7 linked regions of the Danio rerio genome follow. The protein of the gene in region 1 interacts with the protein of each later gene in a pairwise test. Links are inferred from orthologs where the notes say so. Each region holds a gene or a part of one and is shown on either strand. Other genes may lie near its edges.

Region 1 (2,737 bases):
ATTATATAAGTGATCAGCCAAACTGCTCCTAAGCAGAAATCTCAACTTTTTTCATTACTTTTTCCATGGCAGAAACAGACTTGAGGATGATGAGGATCTTCCGGACATGCAGGATTCTCTTCTCGATGACTATCCGGATGATTATGAGGAGTATGACCATGACATGGAGACAGAACTTGTCGATGGAGATGAGGAGCGGAAACACAGCGAACATCATGACTACGGGGATGAGGAAAAGGATGATGATGATGATGATGATGATGATGAGATGCAATTTGATGATGATGACTGTCAGGGGGATGATGACATCATCAGGAGGCACAGTCAGAGCAGCAAGGGTAGCGACAGAAGTGATCACAGCAACAGGAGTAGAACAGGTAGTGTTAATTAGTTAACTGCAGCGGTGTAAAGTAACAAATTACAAATACTCAGACTACTGTAATTGAGTAGTTTTTCCTCAGGAATTGTAATTTACTAAGTAGTTTTTAAAATGTGTACTTTCACTTTCCCTTGAGTACATGTGTAGTGCAGTATCGGTACTTTTACTCCACTACTTTCCCTCAACCTGCAGTCACTACTTTATTTTTTCCTGTCTATGGGGATTAGAAAAATCAGTCCTGTGATTCCTGTCACACATAGAAAGTAAATCATAATGAACTACCTCAAGACATGGGCGATTTATAATCACAGCAAACTGTTTGGAAGCATTAAAAGTGTCCAAGAAGATATTCAAAACCTTTACAAGTATTGACCCAGAGACGGTTTAGATGCATGTCACCGATGAGAAGATGAAAAATGTTTACCGTATGAAGACCGAAATGGTCTTAAACACCCAGCAGGCATCAGACGTCAACATGACGTCATCATGGGGACGTTACACTTTGTTTGGAAATGAAAATCGGGTTGACATCTGAACCCAGCGTCAGGCCAACGTCAATTTCCAGTCTAAAATCAACCAAATATCAACGTCTAATGATGTTACAGCTTGACATTGTGTGGACGTTACCACTTTGACGTCTATCAGACATTGTATTTTGCTTGCCATACCTGACGAATAAATGTCAGTATTTGATGTCAATTTGACGTTGATTTAAGATGTTAGCTTGACGTTGGATTTTGATAACTTTCTAACACAACCTAAAATCAACCAAATATCAACGTCATTTAACATTGTTATTGGACATCAAAATAACATCCTTAGACACTGGCTAGACATAGAATTTTGCTCAACTGACATCACAACCTAACTCTAACCTAATATTAATGTCATATGACGTTGTGTTCCTGCTGGGCAATAACTAAATGCACTACAGAATGTTACGTTTACACACATCCACAAATTACTGTAAATTGCTTTTTACAGTGTAATACTCACTATACTCTTGAAAGGGCTACTTTATAATTATTCTTTGAGTAATATTTACAACAGATACTTTTACTCTACTTGCCCTACATTTTTAGGGAAGTAGCCTAATGGTACTTTAACTTATGTATGATTTTTCAGTAATCTGTCCACCACTGGTTAACTGAAAAGACAAGTGTGAGGATCAGGAAGGTGATGAGAAACAGAAATGCCCCTAGTGGAGAACACTGGTATTTTCCTAAATATATTATTAGATGTTTGGGACATATTTTAAGTCATTTTCGTATTTAAGCCAAGCAAAACCTCAGTAGTAAGTTGTTATTATAGGCATTTTTAATAAAGTGAATCTCATAAACCTGTCACAACCAGGTAACAAGTAATAATAATAGAAGTATTTAAGAGCATGGGTGTACATTAAATAATAAAATCCTCTATTAAGCAATTATAAAGAAAAATAAACTAGCAGTCACTATTAAAAACAGAGATAATTAGCACAACCCTCAAAAGTTTAAGATAAACATGATTAACATACTTTGGTTGGAAATGTTCTGTATCATCCTGCAATGCAGCAAATCTTTTTAAAATAGTGTATAAATGTAATTAATATAGTCTAAATGTTATTACTTATTTCTCGTTTTGTTTGAGGCAGAATATGACCTCGACGTGTTTGCAGCTTGTTCACTTCATACACAGTAATGATGAACATATCATATATGTAAATATAAATGTCTATCAACTCATCAGATATCTTTTAAAAAGAGCCAAAAAACTGTTTTATGATGTGTATTACCAATCAAAAGACTGTGTTTGCATGTGTGGGAATGCAAATGTGTGAAAATAAAACTTAATACGTGAAAATAAACTTTACAGCATATTCATTCGTTCTCTATTTACTTCTTAAATATAAACACGCACATATAAAACATTTTAAACATGAGCCACGGCCTAAAAATACACATCATGGTCAGTTACTGTTTGTACATCGCAGGCAACATCTCAGTAATTTTCCATGCTCCACGCGGTCCAGCCCACCTCACGCTCACGCTGTGATGCAAAACCCGCCTTGCACATGAGACCAAGGGCAAAAAGACGCGCTGGGTGGGGTTTACCCTGACATACAGCGCTGTAAGCCAATCACACGCGAAATAGCAATCCGCGCTGCCCCCTCCGACCAATCAGCTGCTGAAGAGGGCGTTTCTGCAGTCCGAATTTTACGCGGCGCTACGGGCTGAAAACTAAACCGAGATGGAATATGCCAGTCTGAACCGGTTTCAACCGGTCTTGCGTGTGATGCATGAGACTGGCGAGGAGCTGGGTCACAGTCTCTCGCAAATATCTGCTTACAAAACAACGGTTTTTCTACACGAGACTAAC
Region 2 (3,500 bases), on another chromosome or scaffold:
TTCAGTCATTAAATTTCTAAGATTATTTTACTTATTAAATAGACACTAGATCTCATTTTAAATATTAATATATAATCTATCATATTGTGCTACAGTATATTATGCACTAATAAATAATAATTTGTCTATGAAGATACTGTTATCTTAATGTTAAAAGTTAATGTTAACAGAGCTTGCCATACCCAATGCACTGAAAGGAACTCAATGTTTGCTCAAAAAGTGAAAAATTCCTAGGGTTTGTGTTAAATGTTGGAATGTGTGAACGTACTCTCCTCTTTTATGTGGGTATAATGTAAATGACGATTCATACGCACATTGCATGTGTATAAAATATATTTTCTTTTGTCCAAATAAATCGAAACACAAATAAATTGAATGTCAAAAGCAAGACAAATAGCAAAAGGTGACACATCCAGAGTGAAGCATAAACACATTCATTCATATATACAATATTTTATTTAGACGCTGTTTATGTTTGGCCTGTGACTGATAATTTGTTTTGTTGAAAATAAATAAATGAGTCTGTTACACATCACAAAAAGTAGGTCGCCTGGACTCCATGCAGCATAAAACATAAAATCATATATGTAAGCCCTGGCATTGACTAAAGTCTGAAAACTGAAGTCAAAGCAAGAAATCTGGCAGAATTACAGAGTGAAGTTCCATTAGATCAGCTCTGTATCAACAATAACTGATCACGCTGTCATCGTGCCCATAAAAGCCTTCTTGAAATAAGCTAAATATACTTTCAATTACAGAAATATACTTGTACTTTTATAAAAGCAGTAATATTTAATACTTTATATATATATTTTTTTAAAAGACAAAGTGTTTTATTTGTACAAAAACGCACATAGATTCCCTTATGAAATTTCAACAGACCTTAAACCGCCAATAAGGCAGCTCTGCCCATTCACACAATCACACACAAATCTATCATCACTTTCCACTTGCTTCCTCGTCGCTGTCGTCCACTTCCTGGATTATGAGATCGGCTCCAGAATCTTCCGCTAGATCATCATCATCCATGACCCATGTAATTTGCCTGTTTTCACTCATGTCCTCGTCCACACCCAACAACAGGCCTTCCTTGTCCTCATTTCCATCTGTTTCATCTGTGATTAAATCATTGTAGCCGCTCTCCTGAATGCAAACGTCACAGAGCCTGTATTTGCGGGTCCCTTCACTGACCACACGTCCACTGACTTCAGTTACATGCCGCTTACACTTCCTGCAGACCAGCTTACGGGCCTGATGAATCTGTCAGTGTGATAAATGGAGAAGGTGTATTTTAGATCTCATGTCAATCTAAATTATTCATTTGATGGACAGAAACATTAGCCAAATACTAATGTACTACATTGTACTGTAAAAAATGCTGGGGGTCCACTAGGCATAGGATGATAACCGGTTTCAAGGTTAACCGCAGTTTAAAAAAAGTCAAGGTTTTAAACACCAAAGTTTTCTATTATACCAATCCTAAGGTATATGAAAGATTTTTTTCGTTTTTTATTTTTACACAACTATTTTATTTTTTTAGTAAAAGTATTTAGTTTTTAGTAACAGTATCTCCAGCAGAAAAGGAACCTCTACATTAAAAGCTACTGTTCCAAAAAGTTTATTAAAATAACATATATTGTGTTCAATGGGGTAAAAAAAGTCTTTGTCAAAATCTTACTAGGTTTCACACAAGTCTTTCATGTTGTCCCAACACAAATCGATTACATTAACTTTGTTATTTTACAAATTTAGGCGGATTGAATATAAAACAATTAAGTTGTCCCCAAAAACTCAAGAATTGTGATTTTTCAGCTCATTTTAAGTAAGTAAGTTTGTAGAAGCAGCAAAACCCTTTTTGTTGAAGTATATAGAAAGTCATTTTAAAATTTAATATTTAAAATGAAATACTACTGTTTTTAAGCTAATTTATTTAATAAATACTAATACTTTCTTGGGCGAGACACTGGCGCAGTAGGTAGTGCTGTTGCCTCACAGCAAGAAGGTCGCTGGGTCGCTGGTTCGAACCTCGGCTCAGTTGGCATTTCTGTGTGGAGTTTGCATGTTCTCCCTGCCTTCGTGTGGGTTTCTTCCGGGTGCTCCGGTTTCCCCCACATACCAAAGACATGCGGTACAGGTGAATTGGGTAGGCTGTGGGTAGTGTGTAAGTGTGTGTGTGAATGTGTGTGGATGTTTCCCAGGCTGGAAGGGCATCCGCTGCGTAAAAACTTGCTGGATAAGTTGGCGGTTCATTCTGCTGTGGCGACCCTGGATTAATAAAGGGACTAAGCCGACAAGAAAATGAATGAATAATACTTTCTCATTAGATACAGGTATCTTATTTTTACACTGTAAAGCCAATAAGTTAGAATAACTCAAACCATTTGAAACCGATTGCAACAAACCATTTAAGCTAACCCTAATGAGTACTGTGAATGTAATCCATTTGAGTAAATGAAGCATTTTGAGCATAGCAAAACCTAAAAATGTCCTGAAGTTTGTTCCCTTAAAATTTTAGGTTGAGTCAACATTTTTGGTAATGTTAGTTTGCGTAATTCCTGCTTCAGTGAGTAAAATGTATGGGTTCATCATTTGAATTACATCTAATTTATTCATAAAATTAATTTGCGTTTTAAGTGATTTGTGGGATAGGCTATTTACTGTATTCTGACCTGATTAGGTATTTCGGCTTATTTTAGGACATACTATACAAATAATGCATCTAATCTTACGCTACTTTTAGGCAATATCTAGAAACCAACACCTATTATATGAGAACACATTGTTTTCTCCATGTCTTGTGAACGTTTACGGTGTCTATCTGTGCTCTAAATCTGCTGGTGTTAGACTAATTGGTGCGATTATGCATTCACAATGGTATGAGGTGGTCAAATGGATGTCTATTATTTTAATTATTAACATAATTTTTTAAAAAACAGATCAGACATCAGAACAGATCAGACCAGACACTGCAAGTATCTGAAAAATAAGTACATTTAAATAACATTTAGTCATTTAGCAGAATTTATAATATAGTCAGGGCAACGCGGTGGCGCAGTAGGTAGTGCTGTCGCCTTACAGCAAGAAAGTTGCTGGTTCAAGCCTCGGCTGGCTCAGTTGGCAATACTGTGTGGAGTTTGCATGTTCTCCCTGTGTTCGTGTGGGTTTCCTCTGGGTGCTCCGGTTTCCCCCACAGTCCAAAGACATGTGGTACAGGTGAATTGGATAATTAGGCTAAATTGTCCGTAGTGTATGAGAAAGAATGAGTGTGTATGGATGTTTCCCAGAGATGGGTTGCGGCTGGAAGGGCATCCGCTGCGTAAAACATGTGCTAGATAAGTTGGCGGTTCCTTCCACTGTGGCGACCACGTATTGATAAAGGGACTAAGTCGAAAAGAAAATAAATGAATGAATCATATAATCAGCTTGCCATATAAGCATATTTCTACAAGATGTGAATTATTGACCAGCAGTGCAGGATGTCATGTGGAGGTGTGAACGGA
Region 3 (4,160 bases), on another chromosome or scaffold:
GATCTGCTAAAACGATCCATCAGACTGCAGAGAACATTAGAAATGGGACATTGGGAGGATAAACATGATTCCAGGTAAATGAAAATCCCTGTGTGTATTATGCAGAAAGAACATTTACAAAATGTTCCCATAGTGAATTACTCCCACCAGAAGCAGCTGATCACAGAAATTCTGGATAAGGATGAAAAGTCGAGAAAAACGCACTTGATTGATTAAAATAGCTCCAGTAGACTTGATGAAATTCACACACTCAGAAAAGGAATATGTTCAACTTAAAGCCGTCTAAGGTTTCTTCAAATCAATAATACAACGCACATAAATAATGAGAAGAAATCAATGAATAAATAATTGCATTTTGGATTAAATGGAGGTTTTCCAGTAGCAGAGAGACTCATCAGTTACACTCTTCCAGCTTGAGGACTGATCGGTCAAAAACAACACTTAATTCCCTGCAGAATCTACAGTAACATACTGGCAGCAATTTACCAGTAACTTACTGTAAATCAAGTACAGCAAATAGACTGTATTTACATTTACAGCACCATTTATCTTGTATTTACAGATATGTATGTATAATAGTTTTGGGTCAATAGGCAATGCCATCGTCGATCGACAAAGGCCGAGAAACATCCTCTGCCCCGCCCCCGTCGCTAGAATTACACACTCAGGCCCCATTTAGACCAATACATCTTAGTATTAAAATGGCATTTTAGAACGAAAACGATCCACATCCACTGGCGTTTTATCTAGCACTTCTGAAAACATACTGCTGAACACACATGGCATGTGCTGCAGCATTTGCGCACGTCTGAGCTCTAGGCAGTCAGTGGGTGCTTTGAGCACAAAATCCCAGAGAGCAGTGCACTTTGGACAATTTATTAAAGATGTACCGCTGGATTGCATCTTATAGATGTTAAACTTGATATTTAATTAATCTTGTCTCTATCTAACGACTCCTCTGTCTTTTGAATCTATCAGGTAACACAGCGTCAGTACACTGCTTCAGTCTTTCGCTTTCACGCTTGTACTTTTAGTAAATTGTAATTCTAGCTTAAACCTCAGATACTGTTGGATGGTTCCTGTTGGTTGTGCACCTTTTTTTTTACCAACCAAGTTTTTCGACGCCATTATAATGACACAGATCACTCTGCCTATTCATGCCAGAATCCCGCAAAAAAAAATATTGACCGGTTGGTCATTTATGTGTAATTTATCTTTATTCATTTATGATTTGGTTATGTATAAAACAAAGACTATGCAGGTCAGGTAGTCGCAACGGGTGGCTACAAATTATTAATTTGTTATGAATAAATAAATGATTCACTGATGCCATCGTCCATCACGATGTTTCACATTAGACATCGTACGATGCCAAATCGGTCAACATCGCCCAACCCTAATGTAAATCTTTACTGTAGAATATACACTAATTTTCACAATGCAGCATTAAAATACAGTAACATACTGCATGAGTGTCCTACAGTAAAATACAGTTCACATTACAGCTAAATACTGTGTAATTTACAAAAATCGTTAACAGTGAACATTAAACTGGATGGCTGCAATGCAAACAGCCTTCAACTAACAACTTTCTTTACTTTAACCTCCATGTTCACGCTCACCTGTGCTATCTTCCTCCTCTCCAGCACATTATCCTGATGAACAGATCTTCTTTTACTCGCTCTGCTGCTGAATCCGTCAAGGCATCTATCAACGTCACTCTGCCCATGCACTCTTGAAGTCTCTAGTGGTCCAGAACTTCCAGGAATGTGGTGTTTGTTTCTCTTCTTGCGTCCGTGTTTGCCTACATCTGGTTTGTGCTTCTCTGGGCTTTCGATAGCTTTGGGTTCAACGGGATCCAGGACTCGGGGTCTCCTAAACAGGTTGTGAAGAGACAGCAGCACCAAGGTGCACAGAACATACATGCTGGCTTGACTACTGGAGACGTCTCCACACACACATTTAGACGGAGTATCCTTTAAAAGCGATTCTGGATGATCCCATTTCAGGGTGAGCGCAAGCACTGAACACTATCTTCTGGTTAAAGTTACAGTCGTAATATAAACTCTTCCGAATTGCGCAGCAATGAGCTTTATCGGTCGACGTGAAGGTGATCAGCCAGTTTAGAATCAAGTATTGTTGAGTTCTTGCATGTCTTCCCACCACTGTTTTCACTCAAACAACAACTCCTGGAAGGTAAGACCGTGTTATTCCAACACCTTCGAGCTCCAGAACTCTCACTTAGGCTTGATAATCTGTCTGTGATCTGATCAGCAAATGAGATGGCTTTCTCATCTCCCAATCTCGTTCAAGAGAGAATGAGGGAGGGACGACTACCGCACATCTGCTTTTAAACCCCACAAAGCCATTTTAACCTACCTGGACACGTCTATAAAGATATCGCCTGATAAACAATGTAAGCCAACAGCATGATAAATGCTTCTTTAATCAGGATACATAATATTTAGGTGCTTATCTTCCCCATCTGCACGCCTCTTCTTTGGAGATCTTCCAGAAGATTACAGGTGTATTCCAGTGAAATTCGATCGAAAGAGTAACCATGAAACTCTCAGTCGTAATCTCCATTGGCACTTTGACAAATCATCACCTCCACTTGCGTCAGTAATGGTTTTATTGTATTTTTACAGTCACTGGATTGCAGGACAAAACTCACAGGTCAGACCACTCCTTTCATAATGCCTTGTTTTGATAGTCTTTATCCCCGTTTTTAGGTCCAAATGACTGGGCAAACTCCAACCATTCATAACCCATCCAACTCCTGCGATGCTGGTGTAGTCCTATAACTCCGAGAGAGAAAATGCTTTTCACTCTTTCGCCCTCCCTTTTCTCATTGTGTCCATCTGTCACTGCAGTCGGACAGCTAAGCGTCTCTTAGCCGATGATGTAACAACAGTGTTTGCATCTATGCAAAATAAGGAAAATCAACTCAAAACATGTTTTAAATGCACTGCTGAGGATAAAGAAGCTGGTCTGTGATTGGTCGCCTCCGTGGTAAGATGACCCTGTTGAACTGCGTCCTACAAAGCCATCCATCATGCTCCTGCTGTGTGACAATGGATAGAACATAATATGGAAACAGACAACTATGGGAATGTGGCGCAGTGAGACCTGACAGTGCCAATCTAGAGTGATCAATTAGGATTCGGGGACATAGAAGATCGGCGCTGTCTTGTGCTGGTACTTCAGGGGGGAAAAATTGAATCATGTTTGAAGTGTGTGCGCAAGACAAACAAAAGGCCATCTTCTGGTTCATTACCCTTTTTAGGGGCCGTTCACATGCTTCAGACCAAGGGAAAACAACAAGAGTGCCTGTTCGAACCAAATTAACCAGTATAGAAGTAAGTGCTCAAACTAAAGTGGCAGGGCTGGGCAAATCTACAAACAGAAAACTACAAACAAACAACAATTTTTTTTATATACAGTTGAAATCAGAATTATTAGCCCCCCTGAATTATTAACCTCCCTGTTTTATTATTATTATTATTGATTATTATTATTTTTTATTTGTTTATTTTATTTTTTAAACATAATAGGTTTAAGAACTCATTTTTAATAACTGATTTATTTTATCCTTGTCATGAAGACAGTAAATAATATTTGACTAGATATTTTTAAAGACACTTCTAAACAGCTTAGTGACATTTAAAGGCTTAACTAGGTTAATTACAGTAGGTTAACTACGCAGGTTAGAGTAATTAGGAAAGTTATTGTATAACGATGGTTTGTTCTGTAGACTATCGGAAAAAATAGCTTAAAGGGGCTAATAATTTTGTCCTTAAATTGGTAGTTAAAAAATTAATAACTGCTTTTATTCTAGCCGAAAATAAGACTCTCAAAAAGACAAAATATTATCAGACATACTGTGAAAATGTCTTTGCTTTGTTAAACATCATTTTGGAAATATTTAAAAAAGAAAAAAAACATCAACAAGGGCTAATAATTCTGACTTCAACTGTATATAAGACAATACCAAAATGATGATACAAGTTGAATATTCTCTTCTTCAAAGGGGGCCTCTTACACTCATTTAAACAAGATGTAAAATAAGTCCCTATAGTGTTTGTGTGTGTGTGTGTGTGTGTGTGTGTGTGTGTGTGTGTGTGTGTGTGTGTGTGTGTTTGTGAAGTATCAGCTGAAAA
Region 4 (3,455 bases), on another chromosome or scaffold:
ATAAATAAATAAAAACGTAACTCAAAAATCCAAAAACTGACCACAGGTCTGTCTAAAGTGCATAGTATCACAGTGGTGTTTACATGAACGCCAAAACAAAAAGTGCTTGAGACTATTAGCTAGAGTGAGTGTGTTTGCGAACGCAGAGCCACGATTTGATCCGAACAAACTATTTACACAGATTTTCAAGCATATCGTTTACATTGACAGGAGCTGATTCCGCTAGCATATCAAAGCACTGAGGTAAAGAAGCAGCAAAACAGCAAACAGTATTGCTCGAATACAAGAGATCACCGTTAGTAACGTCATCGAAATCACATGCAGCATTTTCTATTATAAGTTAATAAGTATTGCATGTGAAATGTCTAGACACTTAAAATCTAAGGCTACATACACGGTCCTACTGAATTCCATTTTGTTTATATACGTATATATTTCTAATGTTTATCAAATGACTCTCATAAAAGAATATCTGGTTCATATTCCGTTATAAAAAGCTTGTCAATTTTTTTTTATTACTATTATTCCTGTAACAGTGTTTTCTCGCACAATCTTAGATTTTAAATTAGCGCATTAAATACTTCTCAGATATTTTTTTTTTTTACAAATTTAATTTGTGCATTAATGTAATGGCATTTAGATTATTATTTTTTTAAATATGCAAATAGAATTGGGGATATAAAGCTGTTGCAAAAAATTGGAGAAACCCATTCTAAGATTTTCTAAATGCATTATTCTCGATTGAATCAACTTTGAGCTTAGTGTTTAACAGCAGATGACGCTCTAGGCTAGTTTTTAACATCAGATAGGCTAGTTTTTAACATTAGCAATAGCAATTTAGGCATTTTTATAACAATAGTTTGAACTTTAGGTTAGTTTTTAGTATTAGATGGTGCTCTAGTCTTGTTTAACAGAAGATCGGCTAGTTTTTAACATTAGACTGCGATTTAGGCTAGTTGTTATCAATAGAGGGGGCTTTAGGCTGGATTTTAACATTTAATGGCAATTTAAGCTAGCTTTTAACAGCAGCTAGGCTAGTTTTAAAAAATAGCAATTTATGCTAGTTTTTAACAATAGATGGGACTCTAAGCTAGTTTTTTAACATTAGATGGTACTCTAGGCTAGTGTTTAATCATTAGATGGCACTCTAGGCTAGTTTTTAAAAAACATGGTGCTCTATGCTAGTTTTTAATCATTAGGTGGTGCTCTAGGCTAATTTTTAACACTAGATGGCACTCTAGGCTAGTTTTTTAATGTTAGATTAACAGTAGAAGGCACTCTAGACTAATTTTTTTTAAACAGTAGATGGCACTCTAGGCAATTTGTTTTACAGCAGACTGCGATCTAGGCTAGTTTTTAACATTAGATAGGCTAGTTTTAACATTAGCAATGGCAACTTAGGCTATTTTTTTAACAATAGATTGGACTCTAGGCTTGTTTAACGGCAGATGGCTAGTTTTTGACATTAGACAGCGATTTAGGCTAGTTGTAAACAATAGAAGGGGCTTTAGGCTAATTCTTAACATAAGATGGCGATTTAGGCTAGTTTTTAACAGCATTTGCTAGTTTTTAACATTAAATGGCAATTTTGGCTATAGCAGATAGGCTAGTTTGTAAAATTAGACAGCGATTTAGGCTAGTTTTTAACAATAGATGGGAAATGTAGGCTAATTTTTAACATTAGAGGGTGCTCTAGGCTTTTCAAAATTAGTCCAGAATGCCGTGTGTTGCTATAGCTAGCCTGTCTGCTGCTAAATACTAGCCTAGAGTGCCATCTGCTGTTGAAAACTAAGCTCAGAGCCGATTCAAGATAGAATAGAAATGCACTTCGCAATCGTAAAATCCATTCCTCCAAATGATTGCCACAGCACTAGGGGCATTCGTCATGAAGATAACGTGTAATTTCAAACACAACAACAAAAACGTTAAATTTTCCTAAAAAACTGGCTCAAATTTACAATGTCAATTGCTTTTTTGTTGTTTTTGTTGTATTTTTCGATGTAAAACCTCATTTTAGCAGCTTGTGTGAGGTTCACCAATATTATGGTATATCATGTACATCAAGTTAGTTCCATAACTGTGTTATGTAGTTGTTAGTACTAATAACAATAGTCTTCCTCCAAACCTGATGTATCTCAGGCGTCTGGTATGGCTGATTCACACAGCTTGTGTGTGTCGTTCATTAGAGTAAGACGTATAAAAGTAGAAAAACCCCATTCAGACCATTCAGGTTCTGGATGTGGACGGTTTGGTGTTGTATACTGTGTATAGGCACAGCTGTTATAGTGCAATAGACACACACACAAACACACTGTTAAATCACATTAGCAAGTGCAAAGTCACTACACTCAACTTAAAGGGACAGATCACCCAAAAACAATGACCATTTACTCATAATTTACTCAAGTGCTTCTTCTGTTGAACGCAAAACAAGAAAAATGTTGGGAAAAAGCAGCCATTGGCATCCATAGTAGGAACAAACAAATACTATGGATGTCAATGGATGTTTTCCCAGCATTCTTCAAGATATCCTCTTTTCTGTTCAGCACTCTTCAGTTCATCTTCCTTAGTGTTCAACAGAGGAAAGAAACCCAAACCGTTTTGCAACAAGCAAATGATGAGTAAATGGTGACAGAATTTCATCAGAATTTTGGGTGAACTCCCCCTTTAAAACAGCCACACCTTACTGGGCCTGCAAAGCCCTGTTCTCACTCAGGTCCTCTTTGGTCTTCTGAATGCAGGTGAAGATCTCTTTGAACAGGGCTTTGTACTCGGGCTGATGGAGCTGGTCGGAGAGGCAGGCGGTGTCTGTGGCGGAGCAGCTCTGGGATTTGGGCGTCTGGACGGCTTTATGGCTGAGGCTGTTGGCCCCGTGCTGGCAGCGGCGCAGCAGCTCCTCGTATTTGAGCTGCAGGGCGCTGTACTGAGCGTCCACCTCATTGAGCAGAGAGATGCCGCGCTGCTTGACGGCCTGAGCTCTGCGAATGCAGGAGCGCTCGTGTCCACGCCGGATCTCCTCCGCTCGAGCTCCTCTGACGTAACTATCACTGCTGCAGCGGCAGCGCCCCTGAGGAAACTCCGCCTCCTCCTCACATTCAGGCTCCACCCCCAGCCGCTCCTCTGCACTGAAGAAAACACTGTCAGGCAGCAGCGTGTCGGTCAGTCTGGAGCTGGAAGACTCGGAGCGCCACAGCAGACGCAGCTCCTCCACCTCGGCCTCCAGCTCCGCCTGTCAAAAGTGAAACCGCATGTCACAATGTGTGTCACATGTTACAAACACTAAAACCCAACCTGAAACTGTTATATAATGTCGAGCTTGATGAAAACACTCGCATTCTGCCTTTCAGCTCATAAAAATACTTTGGTCATTTGCAGAAAACATCATTAGCCTATGCAACAACCACATGTTTTTGTTTCATTTCATTTCAAATTCAACATCACTGAGTGCAAACAAA
Region 5 (3,500 bases), on another chromosome or scaffold:
TTTACACACACACAAAAAAAAATGTAACAGAATTAACAACACTTTATTTTTACATTTTTTATGTAAAATAAAACAAAAACAATAATTGTAAAACAAATTATATTTTTTACCTGTAAAATTTTTTTTTTAATGGTTTGAAGGAAAATAAGTTTTTAACCATTCTTCTGAAGAAAAGTAGACATGTTTGCCTTTTATGGCAGAAATCGGGATCTTTCTTGGTTTATTGTGCTCCCTGCACACCCTCTTTGAGATGCAAAATGCAGTTAAATGAGATAATGTTTGTGATTTTTTATTAACACATTCACATAAATGATTTAAAAGTGTTTTGGGAGTTAACTGTGTTTTTTATACAGTTCTGGAGCATCTTGCAATGTAAAAATAAGCAGTTTTTTTTAAATAATTTCTTAATAAGCATAGTTTATTTTTAGACTATTTACAGGCTATATTTGTAAATGCAGCTGATGTAAAAGCATTTTTAATGTTTAAGATTTATTTATGCTACTGAAGCAGAAAAAATACTGTTTTCATTGTAACCAAATGTGTGTTTTTATTTAACTATTAATATCATACTAATTGAGGTTATTGACTGCTGGCATAACGATGTGGATGATATAATGTTACCGTTAGTTGATAGGCAGTCAAAAACTTTTAATTTGTCTTTTTGCAGTTAAAGCACTTTTGAAAGATACTTTTACATACCAGATTGCTTGCGTTTCCGCTTATACAAGACAATAACTTGTTGCGTTTGTTGCAACAGGCATTGTCGCTGTCCACTTGGGAAATACAACCCATTTTATTCACTCCGCAAGCTTATGAGCTGTGTGTGCACGAGTCTGTGTCGCGAGCTATGTGCTATGAGATATGTGCCCTTAGCGCGAGCCTCCACTGAGTGTGGTTGCACAGCTGAGACCTGTGAAGACTTTTATACTTAACACGCTTGCCAGAAACACAAGCATTTTTCATGTGAGACTGCCAACTGTGCAGAAGAATATCAAATATTGCAAATTAAAGAAAAGTTTGGTCAGTTAAATTATGCTACTGTAAGTAGTGTTTATTCAGCAATAATTTTCCATTACCGTTAACAGAATAGTTAAAGTCAACGTTACTGTTGTATAAGAAGGATCTCACCTGGTCTGTCAATGAAGTCACAGTGGCTCAAACCAGCTATTTCCATGCGCTTTAGGAAAAGCACAGTGGAAGTGATGTCAGACTCTAGAAGGTGTGGGACGCTCTCGGCAGGAAGTGAAGTGTCTTCTTGATACAAACAGAAGCACTTGCCTGCAGAAATGGAAAATGTCAGGCTTAGGATTCAGTGCATGAAAAAACTAATTGGATGAAACATTTTTATTTTAAGTAGTACACTTCTGTTAAAATTTATTTGTATTTTTTATTTTCTTTTGAAGGAGTCTTTTAAGCAGCATTTGGAAATATTTAATCAATTTTACAAATGCATTAATGTTATTTAGAAGTTAGTTATTTCTTACAAATGTAGAAAGAGGTGCTTACCTGTTGGGCCTGCGAGTTGTTTGCGGCTCTCAGCTTGGCTCTTGCTGATTGGTCGAATTACAATTGAGTTGGCTCTGATTCGGGGATTGTACACCTGTCACAATGAAACATCACTGTTTTATGGCCACCAATCAAAATAGGAAAAAAGGAGCTGATTATAAACTTAGCGGCCAATTTAATTTCAAGTAGTACTGAACTATATGAAGTATAGCACTTTCAACGTATTTTTGGTATAATTACTACATATACTACATTTTGACCTTCACTCAAGAGTACTTAACACAATTAAAGGAAAGACTAGCCTGTAAAAGTCCCGATAAAAACAAAATTGCTACGTACATATCTTTTCTGCACTCCAGCATCAATCACAAAGCGAATGGTGTGAAGGGCCCAGAAGAGATCTTCGCTGGGGCTGCAGGTGAGGAAGACTCTCCTGCTTTTGCTCTCCTCAGTCAGTGAGAGACTGTCACCTTGCCTTGGGCACAGAGACACGGGCACCAGCTCTCCATGAGACAGAGCGAGATTGGCACCCTCTCTCCGCAAAATGGCATGGGCACATTCAATCTCCTTGAAAATAAAACGGGAAACAAAAGTTTTAATTACCATAGAATTTATTTATTTATTTTTGTTATTCTACAGTATACTAGATTTAAGAATTTTTATAATTATTTAATTATTTATATTATTTATAAATAATTAATTATATAATTTTTTTATATTATTTTATATCAAATATTATCAATTATTTAATTCATACATATTATAATTTGTAATTTACCATTTTAATTCTAAAATGTATAATTTTTAGAATTTTTATAATAAATCTCCATTTAAAAATATAAAACAAAAAGAAAGCATTAACTTCTATAAGGTTTAAAATTTATTATATTATATTATAGATTTTTTAAATATATTCATAAACTATACTGATTAAATATATTATTATTAATATATTAAATATATATTCAAAAATGTCAAATCATTAGAAATTATAAAAACAAACAAAATTTTCTTAATTATTTTATAAATAAAATAATGCTAAAAATAATCTTGAAATTTCTATTTTATTTATCAATTTTTATTTTATTTTAAATATATTTTTTACATTTTTTTTATTAAAAATAAAGAAATATAACATATCAATATCAAACATTTTTACATGTTTTTTTATTTTCTATTTGATCAAATTAATTTGTTTACTAATAAAATAAAGAATAAATATTTAAAAAATGTGACGAAAACGTAAACACCTGTAAATGCCCAGCATTGTCTCATCTATTTAACGTTTAAATGTCTCTCACTTGCTCAGTTGCCAGAAATGCCACAATGTCTCCATGGTTTTCATTCTGGTGTATCTCCAGAGCGAGTCTAAGAGCAGAGCAGAGGTAATCCTTCACTCCTCCTCTCCCACTACCAAACAGCACTTCGCATGGCTGTGGTCCTTCCAGCTTGATCTGAGGAACACTTCCATAGTGTCTCAGCAGCTTCTCTGAGGAGTGCGGAGCGCTGAGGATGACCAGCCGGAGCTCTGGCCGCGTCAGGAGCACGTCTTTGAGCAGTCCGAGAAGCAGGTCTGTGCTGACGGTGCGTTCTTGGGCCTGATCGAGGACCACCACACCACACTGCTCCAACAGAGGGTCTGACATCATTTCCCGGAGCAGCACGTCATCTGTGCAGTATCTGCAAAGCAACAGATGTCATTGCAGTACGATGACCAGATGTCCCTGTTTTCCGGGTCAGACCCAATTTTTGATGTCTTTCCCAGACTGACGCTGTTTTAATAAAAAATCTGAATATACAAAATGTACTGCCCTTACTGTTTAGCTCACAGACAATCACCATTGAGATTTTAATGCTCTTTCGACCACTTACCAACAAAATGTCTGTTCGCCATTTTTAAAAAGTTTCGAAAATGAAAACCAGCATGTGTATGGTATGGTAGGGCTGCACAATACTGGGAAAATATTGTAATATATTCTAGTTTAGACATTTTA
Region 6 (4,188 bases), on another chromosome or scaffold:
TATTGTATAACGATAGTTTGTTCTGTAGACTATTGAAAAAAAATAGATTAAAGGGGCTAATCATTTTGTTCTTAAAATGCTTTTTAAAAAATTAAGAACTGCTTTTATTCTAGCTGAAATAAAACAAATAAGACTTTCTCTAGAAGAAAAAATATTATCTCAAAATCTGCAAAAATTTCTTTGCTCTGTTCAACATAATTTGGGAAATATAAAAGAATAAAAGAAAAAAAAATTCAAAGAGGGGCTAATAATTCTGACTTCAACTGTATATATATATATATATATATAATTTAAAAATTAAAAGTCATTATTGACACATCTTGTAACTGACTGAAATTAAATTTAGCTGCCTTCCATTTGTGTCTATTCGACCAGAGAACTCTAATTCTGCTAACATTTTATACTGATATATATTTGATATTCTGCTAAACGTAAGTAACTCTGCAACCACATTTTGGCTTGATCTACTAATTCTAGTGCAACACTGTGCTAATACTATATACTCTAATGAGTTTGTTGGCACATAGTTACTAAGTGATAGTTTGAAATATGTATAAGTGTACTATCCAAATAAAAATTTTTATATTATTATATTAAATAAATAACCTTTACTTTTCTGAAGAAAAATAAATAATCAAACTGTAAACTATTTTTAGTGTGGGCTAGGGCTGCACGATATTGGAAAAATCTTATATTACAGTATTTAATTTTTCTACGTTAAATATAGTGATATGAATACCGTTTTACAAGATGGTTTGACTAGCTCTGTATGATGTTTCTTTTTCTGGGAAGTCTAACAGTATTCAGGTACAGAAATTAGAATAAATACTTTTCTTTGTCTCATTTCAAGTACAAATATCTAAAGATTAAAATCAGATCAAGTAAATTGTTTTGTTTCCACCTTTAGAAATCTGCCAATGGGGTATGTAAAAAAATTGGGTATGCAAAAAAAACAAAAAACGTTTTGCTTTAAAATGTAGATATTTGAACTAGAAACAATACAAAAATTCTAAGTACAATTGTTTATTATATAAATCATATAAATAACAAAATCAATTAATCTTTTTTTACACCTCCAAACTTCATAATTTCTTGTGCCCAAATTTTAAATCCTCTTTAAATGCAGTCACAGGCCTTAAAAAACATGCTTTATACTTTTATATTTACTAAATTTTCACTCTACTATGATTAAACTTAACAGTGACATTACAAATCACGTGTTCTGTAGTCAACTATGATTTAGACTCAACATTGCAGATCTTGCGAAGTGACAAAATTCTAAGCATAATAGTTTTAATAACTCCTCTCAAACAACTGAATTATTTTATCTATGCCATAGTGACAGTAAATAATATTTTTCATAGATATTAAGACACTTCTATACAACTTAAATTGACATTTAAAGACTTAACTAGGTTAATTAGGTTAACTAGGCAGGTTAGGGTAATTAGGCAAGTTATTGTATAACAAAGGTTTGTTCTATACACTGCAAAAAATTATTTTCTAATTTAGATTTTTTTTATCTTGTTTCTAGTCCAAATATTTAAAAACAAAATAATATGCCAAAATTAAGGTTTTTTTTTTTTAGTACAAGCAAAATAATTTGCCAATGGGGTAAGCAAAATAATCTTGTGACAAAAGGAAAAACAAGATAATTTTGCTTTCACCATTTCACCAGACTATTTTGCTCATTTTAGGGAAAAACTCATTTAATTTTGGCATATTATTTTTTTAAAACAAGTCAATAATTTTTCTTGTCAAGAAAATATTACTTGGTTTAGGGATTTTTAGATATTTCGCCTAAAAAACAAGATAAAAGATGTAAATAAGAAAAGCATTTTATGCAGCGTAGTAGACCTTAAAATGATTTTTAAAAAATTTAAAACTGCTTTTATTCTAGCCAAAATAAAGATAATAAGACTTTCTCCAGAAGAAAAAATATTATCAGACATACTGTGAAAATGTCCTTGCTCTGTTAAACATCATTAGGAAAAAAAAATTAAAAGAAAAAAAATTTAAAGGAGGGCTAATAATTCTAACTTCAACTGTACATTAATATACTTTTATACTTTGGCTCTTTATAAACTTTTCTTTTTTTGTCTTCAATTTTAAAGACATACATGTCCATTTCCAGATATTAAAATGTGCAATTTTAAACATGATCTACATAGGAGGATTAACTGTTACCCAGTAATCCTAGTAAACTAGATTAACGGTACTCTGTAAATATACATACATAACATTTAATATTCTGGCTTTCACTTTCATTCATGTTCGTCTTCAAACTTTCTAACACTAAAAAAATATTATTTCCATTTTGTATAAACATAATGATGACAACATAAATAACAAATAACACTGAACAATCAAATTTAGTTAAATCAGGTTTTTAGCGCTCTCACACGAAAACAAGAAGCAGAAAAGTACATAAATAAGTCATTTTAAGTATTTCGACATGATTCGATTGATTTCATTGAGTGATAATAGTTGCTAGTTTACCTTAATGTGTACATCAGCCCAAGCATGAATGAAAATACATGCATTTCCTCATGTTAGCATACAAGCCACAGCGAACAAACGCTTTATTTGATGTGTTTATTAATAAACAGAGGTGACGAAAACTCTGCGAAGGTCAAAGCACGCGACAATTACAGACTAAAGGGAATTTGCTGCAAGTCTAAAATTGTTCTCGTTGATGCTTAGGTCAGCTCTCTATGGGTCAGCTAAGCTAACAAGCTAAAGCAGCATAGCACAAGCATAAGCTTTGCGCCCCCACAGCTATGATCGTTTCCATGGCAGCAGAGTAACAACATCCTTTTCTGCTGCTGGATGAGTTACCGCGTTTACAACCTGACGTCACATATACTTATTTAGAAAAGCGGAAATTACGAGTTCACTTCTGATTAAGCTCAATTTCTGGGATGCATGACTGTTATTTCCCTGCTATAAAAGCAGCATGCTTACCGTAAAGTTATAAAATTCTTATGGGGTATTTGTTTGAAATGAAACGTGTTTAATAAGTGGATGTAATTAAATTTAATTAAGTGGAAAGTTTATGTAATTTGATATTGAATATATTTATGTTTGGGTCAAAATGTTATGTATACACTGACAAAGCACTTAACTATGTAAGTGTATCACGTCTGGTATGCTTGCATAGTGTACTTCCTGCCAGAGTTGTTATGACAAGTTAAGACTTAATTTTTTTTCAACCCAGTGATATAACTTCTCTTGAGGCGTACAGACGGCACAACAGCAGCTGACGCAACATGAAACAAGACACCTGATTCACGTGGTTTCTACCTGCCTGCTGTCACGTTCTAATTTGGTGAAATGATGCCTATTCTCTTATCATAAGGGTGCTTTAAGCACATATAAGATAAATGTATATGCTAAATACATTTTAAAACTGTGCGATCATAATTATTTCCATATATAAATAATTTTTTTTAGATAAAATTATTTTTTACATAATTATTTTATACTCAAACCCTGTTCAGTAATTTTTTTTGTTTTTTTTGCAAAACCATCAGCTGTCTATATGACATTATTAAACTACCAAACAGATTTTAAATTGTATATTAGGGTCATGACAATAATATATATACAATATATAATAATTATATATAATTAAATATAATTATACAAAAAAAAAAAAAAAAAAATATATATATATATATATATATATATATATATATATATATATATATATAACTGTTTTTGTAAAAACTGTTTCGTAGAATAGAATATATTGTGAATGAATATGCTAAAATATACTTTTTATTATTCATTCTATTATAATCTTATATTCATGTAACATTCCTTTATTCTCTTTGCGGATTAGTCCCTTTATTAACCTAGGGTTGCCACAGCGGAATGAACCGCCAACTAAACCCACACTGGAAAACATTATGTTATGTAATATAATGAAAAAAAAATTAAATTGAATATAACTTTTACTATACACCGTGGATGATTCAGTTTATATGCAGGGGTGGACTTAACCAATAAGCAGCCGCTTAGGGCCCTGGGGAATTAGGGGGCCACAACCAGTGCCAAGAAACCTATATTAATTATACAGCCCCTTTTTAAAAATTTTCTATCATATGTTGTGAAATTTGACTATAAGCATTAAGATTTTAACGGTGTTACTTTTTTTAAACCCTGGGGCCTCCATAGTGCAACGTT
Region 7 (4,281 bases), on another chromosome or scaffold:
TATGCATCAACTATTTTTTAATTTATTGTTTGTGTGTACACAAACACACACACACACACACACACACACACACACACACACACACACACACACACACACACACACACCTTCATTTAGACAATAACGAAAATATAATTGTCAGATTTATTGACAATTATATTTATCAATACAATAAAAACAGTAATATTATAACAAAATAATGTGACTTTCACTTTTGTATTACAGTAATATAGTAACAAGAACTAAAGGAAATATTGATTTGTCATAATCTAAAATGTTATAAATCATTCTGTAAAACATTCTATTTTGGTGACAAAAATAAGATATTTGTATACAAGTAGTAAATACACACACACACACATATACTGATATTTGAATTTTTTTTTCTTAAAAAAACTATATTTATTACAAATAATTATAAAATTATTTCGAATTTATTTAACTTTTAAAACATATTTGGCCTCTAAGCAACACTAAAGGCATGTTACACTAATAATGAAAGCTAGACTCACTTTAACTGGCTGTTGGACTGAATGAGCTCTTGAATTAAACCTTGTCTCCTTTCAGAATCCGATAGCATCGTCTTCAACATCAAGCGGACATCAGAGGCAGACTTTCGCTCCAACAAAACCAACTCTACAAACACAAAACAAGTATCACCATTAGTTCTTTTTTTCAGTTATTGTCAATGACTAATATCTAAACTACTATAATTCTTATTGTATACTTGAAAGATATAATATTTGCGAACAGTTAAAAAAATAAAATAAATATAAAAAATAAACGCAAAAATTAGGACTAAAATCATATTAGAAATGTGTTAATAAATTTAATCCCATAATTTAACTTCAAACTTTAATAATCCAATAATTACATTTTTTTCATAGTTGCAGCAACAAATTATTAAAATGAGATAACCTGCAAGGTTCTTGTTTTCCTTTGGATCTGCAAAGCTGACAGGTTTAAACCCGTGATGCTGCAGCAACCTGTTTACAGCGTCCCATTCTCTCTGTTCTTCCTGCAAAAGCATGACATATGCAGCGTGCATTAACAACAATAATAAACTAATGCATGGAGAAACAACTGTAAAACTATCAGAATCTCCACTTTTGTGCTACCTGAAACTGGCTGTAGGTCCACAAAAACACATATGTTTTGTCCCTGGATTGCAAAGCTTGTCTATCCATGCTCGTCAGTGAAAATCACAAATGAATGATGAGCTATTGCACTATTTTAAGCATCTACTTGTATCTTCTACTTTTTGTCTGACTTGATCAGGGTCTGTCCACCCACAGCAGATGGAGGGAACAGACCCAGATCAGATTACTATCCCAAAGAACAATAAGAAACACCTCCACACGCTGGAAAGACAAAAGGGCTCACCTGCTCCATCCCGATCAGAAGCCCTGTAAGAGAAAACACATAGATGCTGAGTTTGCACTTTATTGAAATTGCACTTTACCATTTTAAAAGGACACTATATACTGTATAAATCCAATTTAACAATGTTTATATACTGTCCAACCTATATCATAACTGTCCTAATTTAAACTGTAATGTAGTAATATATTATAACTGAAACAATAATTATTGTGAAAAGCGATACACAGATAAACTTGAATTGAACCGAATTAATGTTTTTTTTTTTTTTTTTTTTTTTCCACTTTCGCCAATTGGTGCAGTTTTTTTTCCTCGCCGCTGACGCCACTAGCTTGCATGGTTTGGGATCTGTAGACCTGCGCATCGATGGATTGCTCTTCAGTGTTTGGACTAAGTAGTGATTATTAAAACACTGATCTGAGCTAAACTGAACTGAACTTAAACTTTGAAAACTGAAATACACCATTTCAATTTGCTATGATCTTTTATGTGAAGCTGTTTTGACACAATCCACATTGTAAAAGTGCTATTCAAATAAAGGTCACTTGAATTGAACTTAATAAAATGACATGTCATTGGCAGATTTTTATTTTTAAATGGAGATTTTTGTAAAACAGAAATAAAAAATGCATTTGAAGTGAACTGAAATTTGCTAGCAAGAATACTTTAGTTAGGTAGCATACTATTTATGTAATGTTTGTGACTTCCGAGCAAGGTATTGCGTGCTTATACCATCAAATACCTTTTTTGGTAGGAGTTTTGTATGTTGTTTAAGATTTTACAATAAGAAAAACTATGTGAATATATCTACTTTGACGATTCATCTGTAATTGAATGTAACACTTGCTATTTTGTGAGGTTTACGTGCATTTTCTGAATGAAAACATAAAACAGGGCAACGTTGTAAAACATACGTACACAATCTTTGTTTACTGTATAACTCTATAGATCTACGTCGACGTTTCATGTTTAATATAACTTGCTATTTTGCGAGATTTACACGCATTTTCTGAGTGAAAACATGGGCTAAGTTGTAAAACGTGTACACAATCTTTGGCTTATAACTCGATCTATAACTCACAATACTACCATGTTCACCAAGATAAAAACCCTAGTATAACATTCTTAGAAGTTAATATAATTTTAGGGGCCACAAAGTTAGCGAAACATTAATAAAAGGGGCTAAAACGTGACAGCACACGGTAGATACAACATACAAACACTGAAAACGCTACATGAAAAATAAGGTCTACAAACGCGGCTAATACATTTCGTTTACGTTAAGTGTTTTGAGCAGTATTATTCTAAATCATACCTTAAACCACAGACGAGCTAAATTGTAGCAATTAAATCTTCAATTTATCGTTTTATAAACAAGAAAACTCGAGTGTGTTTATTGATTCAAATAACAGCGGAAACTGACACCGACGAAGTGCTTCCTGGATTTAGACCAATGGGAGAACTGAATGAGCTAGCCACGCCTACAACGTAGTTTGCGCCACTGTACTGACGTTTCCCTCTTAAGAAAAAGTGGTGTTACAACAAATGTCCACCAGATGGATGCAAAGAATTAACTTTTGAATATGGGCTCCCTACCAGACTCTTATTATGTAAATACATTGTAAAATATTTATTATGAACAGTTGGCATTTTTAGTGCAACTAAATGTAATTACATATTAAAATGTACATAACTGGCAAACAAGACTTCAGCAGATATGTTCCACAATCTTTCAAAACATCCTTTCAGGTTAGTCATTTTGAACAGACAGCATTTACTAAGCCTCTAATCTCACTTCACAGATACTGCTCTTCAAAATTTACGGATTCTGTGGCATTTTGTGTTGCTCTTTTTGCTGCATGCTGTGTAAAGGGCAGCTCTCCGTATGAAGGTCAGCATGCAAATCTCAGCACCGTCTGCAAATAGAGAAAGAGAGAGAGAGACAGAACTTTTGGGAATCTTTTTGTTTAAACAGTTTGTGTCTGTAAAGCCAGTTTTCCTCACCCAGGTTTCCAGAAGCTGTATATGAGCAAATGGTGAGAAAACATCAACAGAACTTCCAAGCAGGTTTTATCACCAATATAGGTAAATATATAATTACTATTATATTATATAGGAAAATTACTGGACCAATGTTTCAATATGTTGCGTGTCAGTCTTGAAAATAAAAATAGGTGCTGGAAAAAGTGCTTAAAAGTCCTTGATTTTCATTAAGCGCCTGTATGAACCCTGTCATATGTACTTGCAACATATATTTCATAAGTGTATGAATGTGACAATGACATATAGCCTATATTTATGAGGTCCAAGCAACAATTTCCATGTTTTGATGAATAGGCTACTATGTTAATACTTTAGATTTAAGTAAAACTTTTTTTTTTTTTTTTTTTTTTAACCTGCAAGCACAGTTAATGTTCACACTATTTATAATGTTTAAATTGGCTGACAATTATACATATTCATAATAATAGGAAATAATCTGCCTCGTTTTTTAACTGTGCACAGCTGTAGCTGCTTAATTAGGCCCACAACACAACTATATTTTAATACTGGTCATTATGTTGGTACTTGGAGAGGAAAAACATTTATGAGGTGGTACTTGGTGAAAAAAGTTTGGGAACCACTGCTATAGATGAATTACCATGTTTGTAAACATTCAGGATGCACGCGCAGGAGGTTGCAGAAAATAAAAAATCCACAGCGTTAACATTTAAATCAAACAGAGTTTGTTGTTGTATTAGAGATATATATATAATATATAATGTTGTTGTATTAGAGATACATATAATATATATGTCTTAGATATATATATATATATATATATATATATAATAGAAATTACAGTATTAAAACAGCTTGTCACCCAGTAATAAGCGCAGTTATTAAGCAAAATTAACGTTA

What was found.
Region 2: the proteins of fam161a (region 1) and zbtb8a interact in binary tests that used the Homo sapiens proteins (3 or more experiments, as listed by UniProt). The two-hybrid records come from large-scale screens. The link is inferred for Danio rerio from reciprocal best matches to the Homo sapiens genes FAM161A and ZBTB8A.
Region 3: the proteins of fam161a (region 1) and kifc3 interact in binary tests that used the Homo sapiens proteins (3 or more experiments, as listed by UniProt). The link is inferred for Danio rerio from reciprocal best matches to the Homo sapiens genes FAM161A and KIFC3.
Region 4: the proteins of fam161a (region 1) and cdr2a interact in binary tests that used the Homo sapiens proteins (3 or more experiments, as listed by UniProt). The two-hybrid records come from large-scale screens. The link is inferred for Danio rerio from reciprocal best matches to the Homo sapiens genes FAM161A and CDR2.
Region 5: the proteins of fam161a (region 1) and dhx32b interact in binary tests that used the Homo sapiens proteins (3 or more experiments, as listed by UniProt). The two-hybrid records come from large-scale screens. The link is inferred for Danio rerio from reciprocal best matches to the Homo sapiens genes FAM161A and DHX32.
Region 6: the proteins of fam161a (region 1) and ccdc57 interact in binary tests that used the Homo sapiens proteins (3 or more experiments, as listed by UniProt). The two-hybrid records come from large-scale screens. The link is inferred for Danio rerio from reciprocal best matches to the Homo sapiens genes FAM161A and CCDC57.
Region 7: the proteins of fam161a (region 1) and cep70 interact in binary tests that used the Homo sapiens proteins (3 or more experiments, as listed by UniProt). The two-hybrid records come from large-scale screens. The link is inferred for Danio rerio from reciprocal best matches to the Homo sapiens genes FAM161A and CEP70.

The regions. Positions count from the first base shown.
Region 1 is NC_133176.1:57,130,454-57,133,190, reverse strand, and holds the end of fam161a (protein FAM161A), read left to right. Parts: intron 1-72; coding exon 73-391; 3' UTR 392-2,237; downstream 2,238-2,737. UniProt on the Homo sapiens protein: Involved in ciliogenesis.
Region 2 is NC_133192.1:26,253,666-26,257,165, forward strand, and holds the end of zbtb8a (zinc finger and BTB domain-containing protein 8A), read right to left. Parts: intron 1,261-3,500; coding exon 940-1,260; 3' UTR 438-939; downstream 1-437. UniProt on the Homo sapiens protein: May be involved in transcriptional regulation.
Region 3 is NC_133193.1:48,507,794-48,511,953, reverse strand, and holds the start of kifc3 (kinesin-like protein KIFC3), read right to left. Parts: upstream 2,801-4,160; 5' UTR 1,926-2,800; coding exon 1,623-1,925; intron 1-1,622. UniProt on the Homo sapiens protein: Minus-end microtubule-dependent motor protein. Involved in apically targeted transport. Required for zonula adherens maintenance.
Region 4 is NC_133178.1:62,630,171-62,633,625, forward strand, and holds part of cdr2a (cerebellar degeneration-related protein 2), read right to left. Parts: intron 3,230-3,455; coding exon 2,684-3,229; 3' UTR 1-2,683.
Region 5 is NC_133192.1:34,050,585-34,054,084, reverse strand, and holds part of dhx32b (putative pre-mRNA-splicing factor ATP-dependent RNA helicase DHX32), read right to left. Parts: intron 3,187-3,500; coding exon 2,808-3,186; intron 2,074-2,807; coding exon 1,846-2,073; intron 1,601-1,845; coding exon 1,507-1,600; intron 1,279-1,506; coding exon 1,129-1,278; intron 1-1,128.
Region 6 is NC_133187.1:35,270,541-35,274,728, reverse strand, and holds the start of ccdc57 (coiled-coil domain-containing protein 57), read right to left. Parts: upstream 2,801-4,188; 5' UTR 2,500-2,800; intron 1-2,499. UniProt on the Homo sapiens protein: Pleiotropic regulator of centriole duplication, mitosis, and ciliogenesis. Critical interface between centrosome and microtubule-mediated cellular processes. Centriole duplication protein required for recruitment of CEP63, CEP152, and PLK4 to the centrosome.
Region 7 is NC_133197.1:12,315,363-12,319,643, forward strand, and holds the start of cep70 (centrosomal protein of 70 kDa), read right to left. Parts: upstream 2,801-4,281; 5' UTR 2,696-2,800; intron 1,407-2,695; 5' UTR 1,393-1,406; coding exon of another isoform or gene 1,384-1,392; 5' UTR 1,188-1,383; coding exon 1,119-1,187; intron 1,019-1,118; coding exon 919-1,018; intron 637-918; coding exon 513-636; intron 1-512.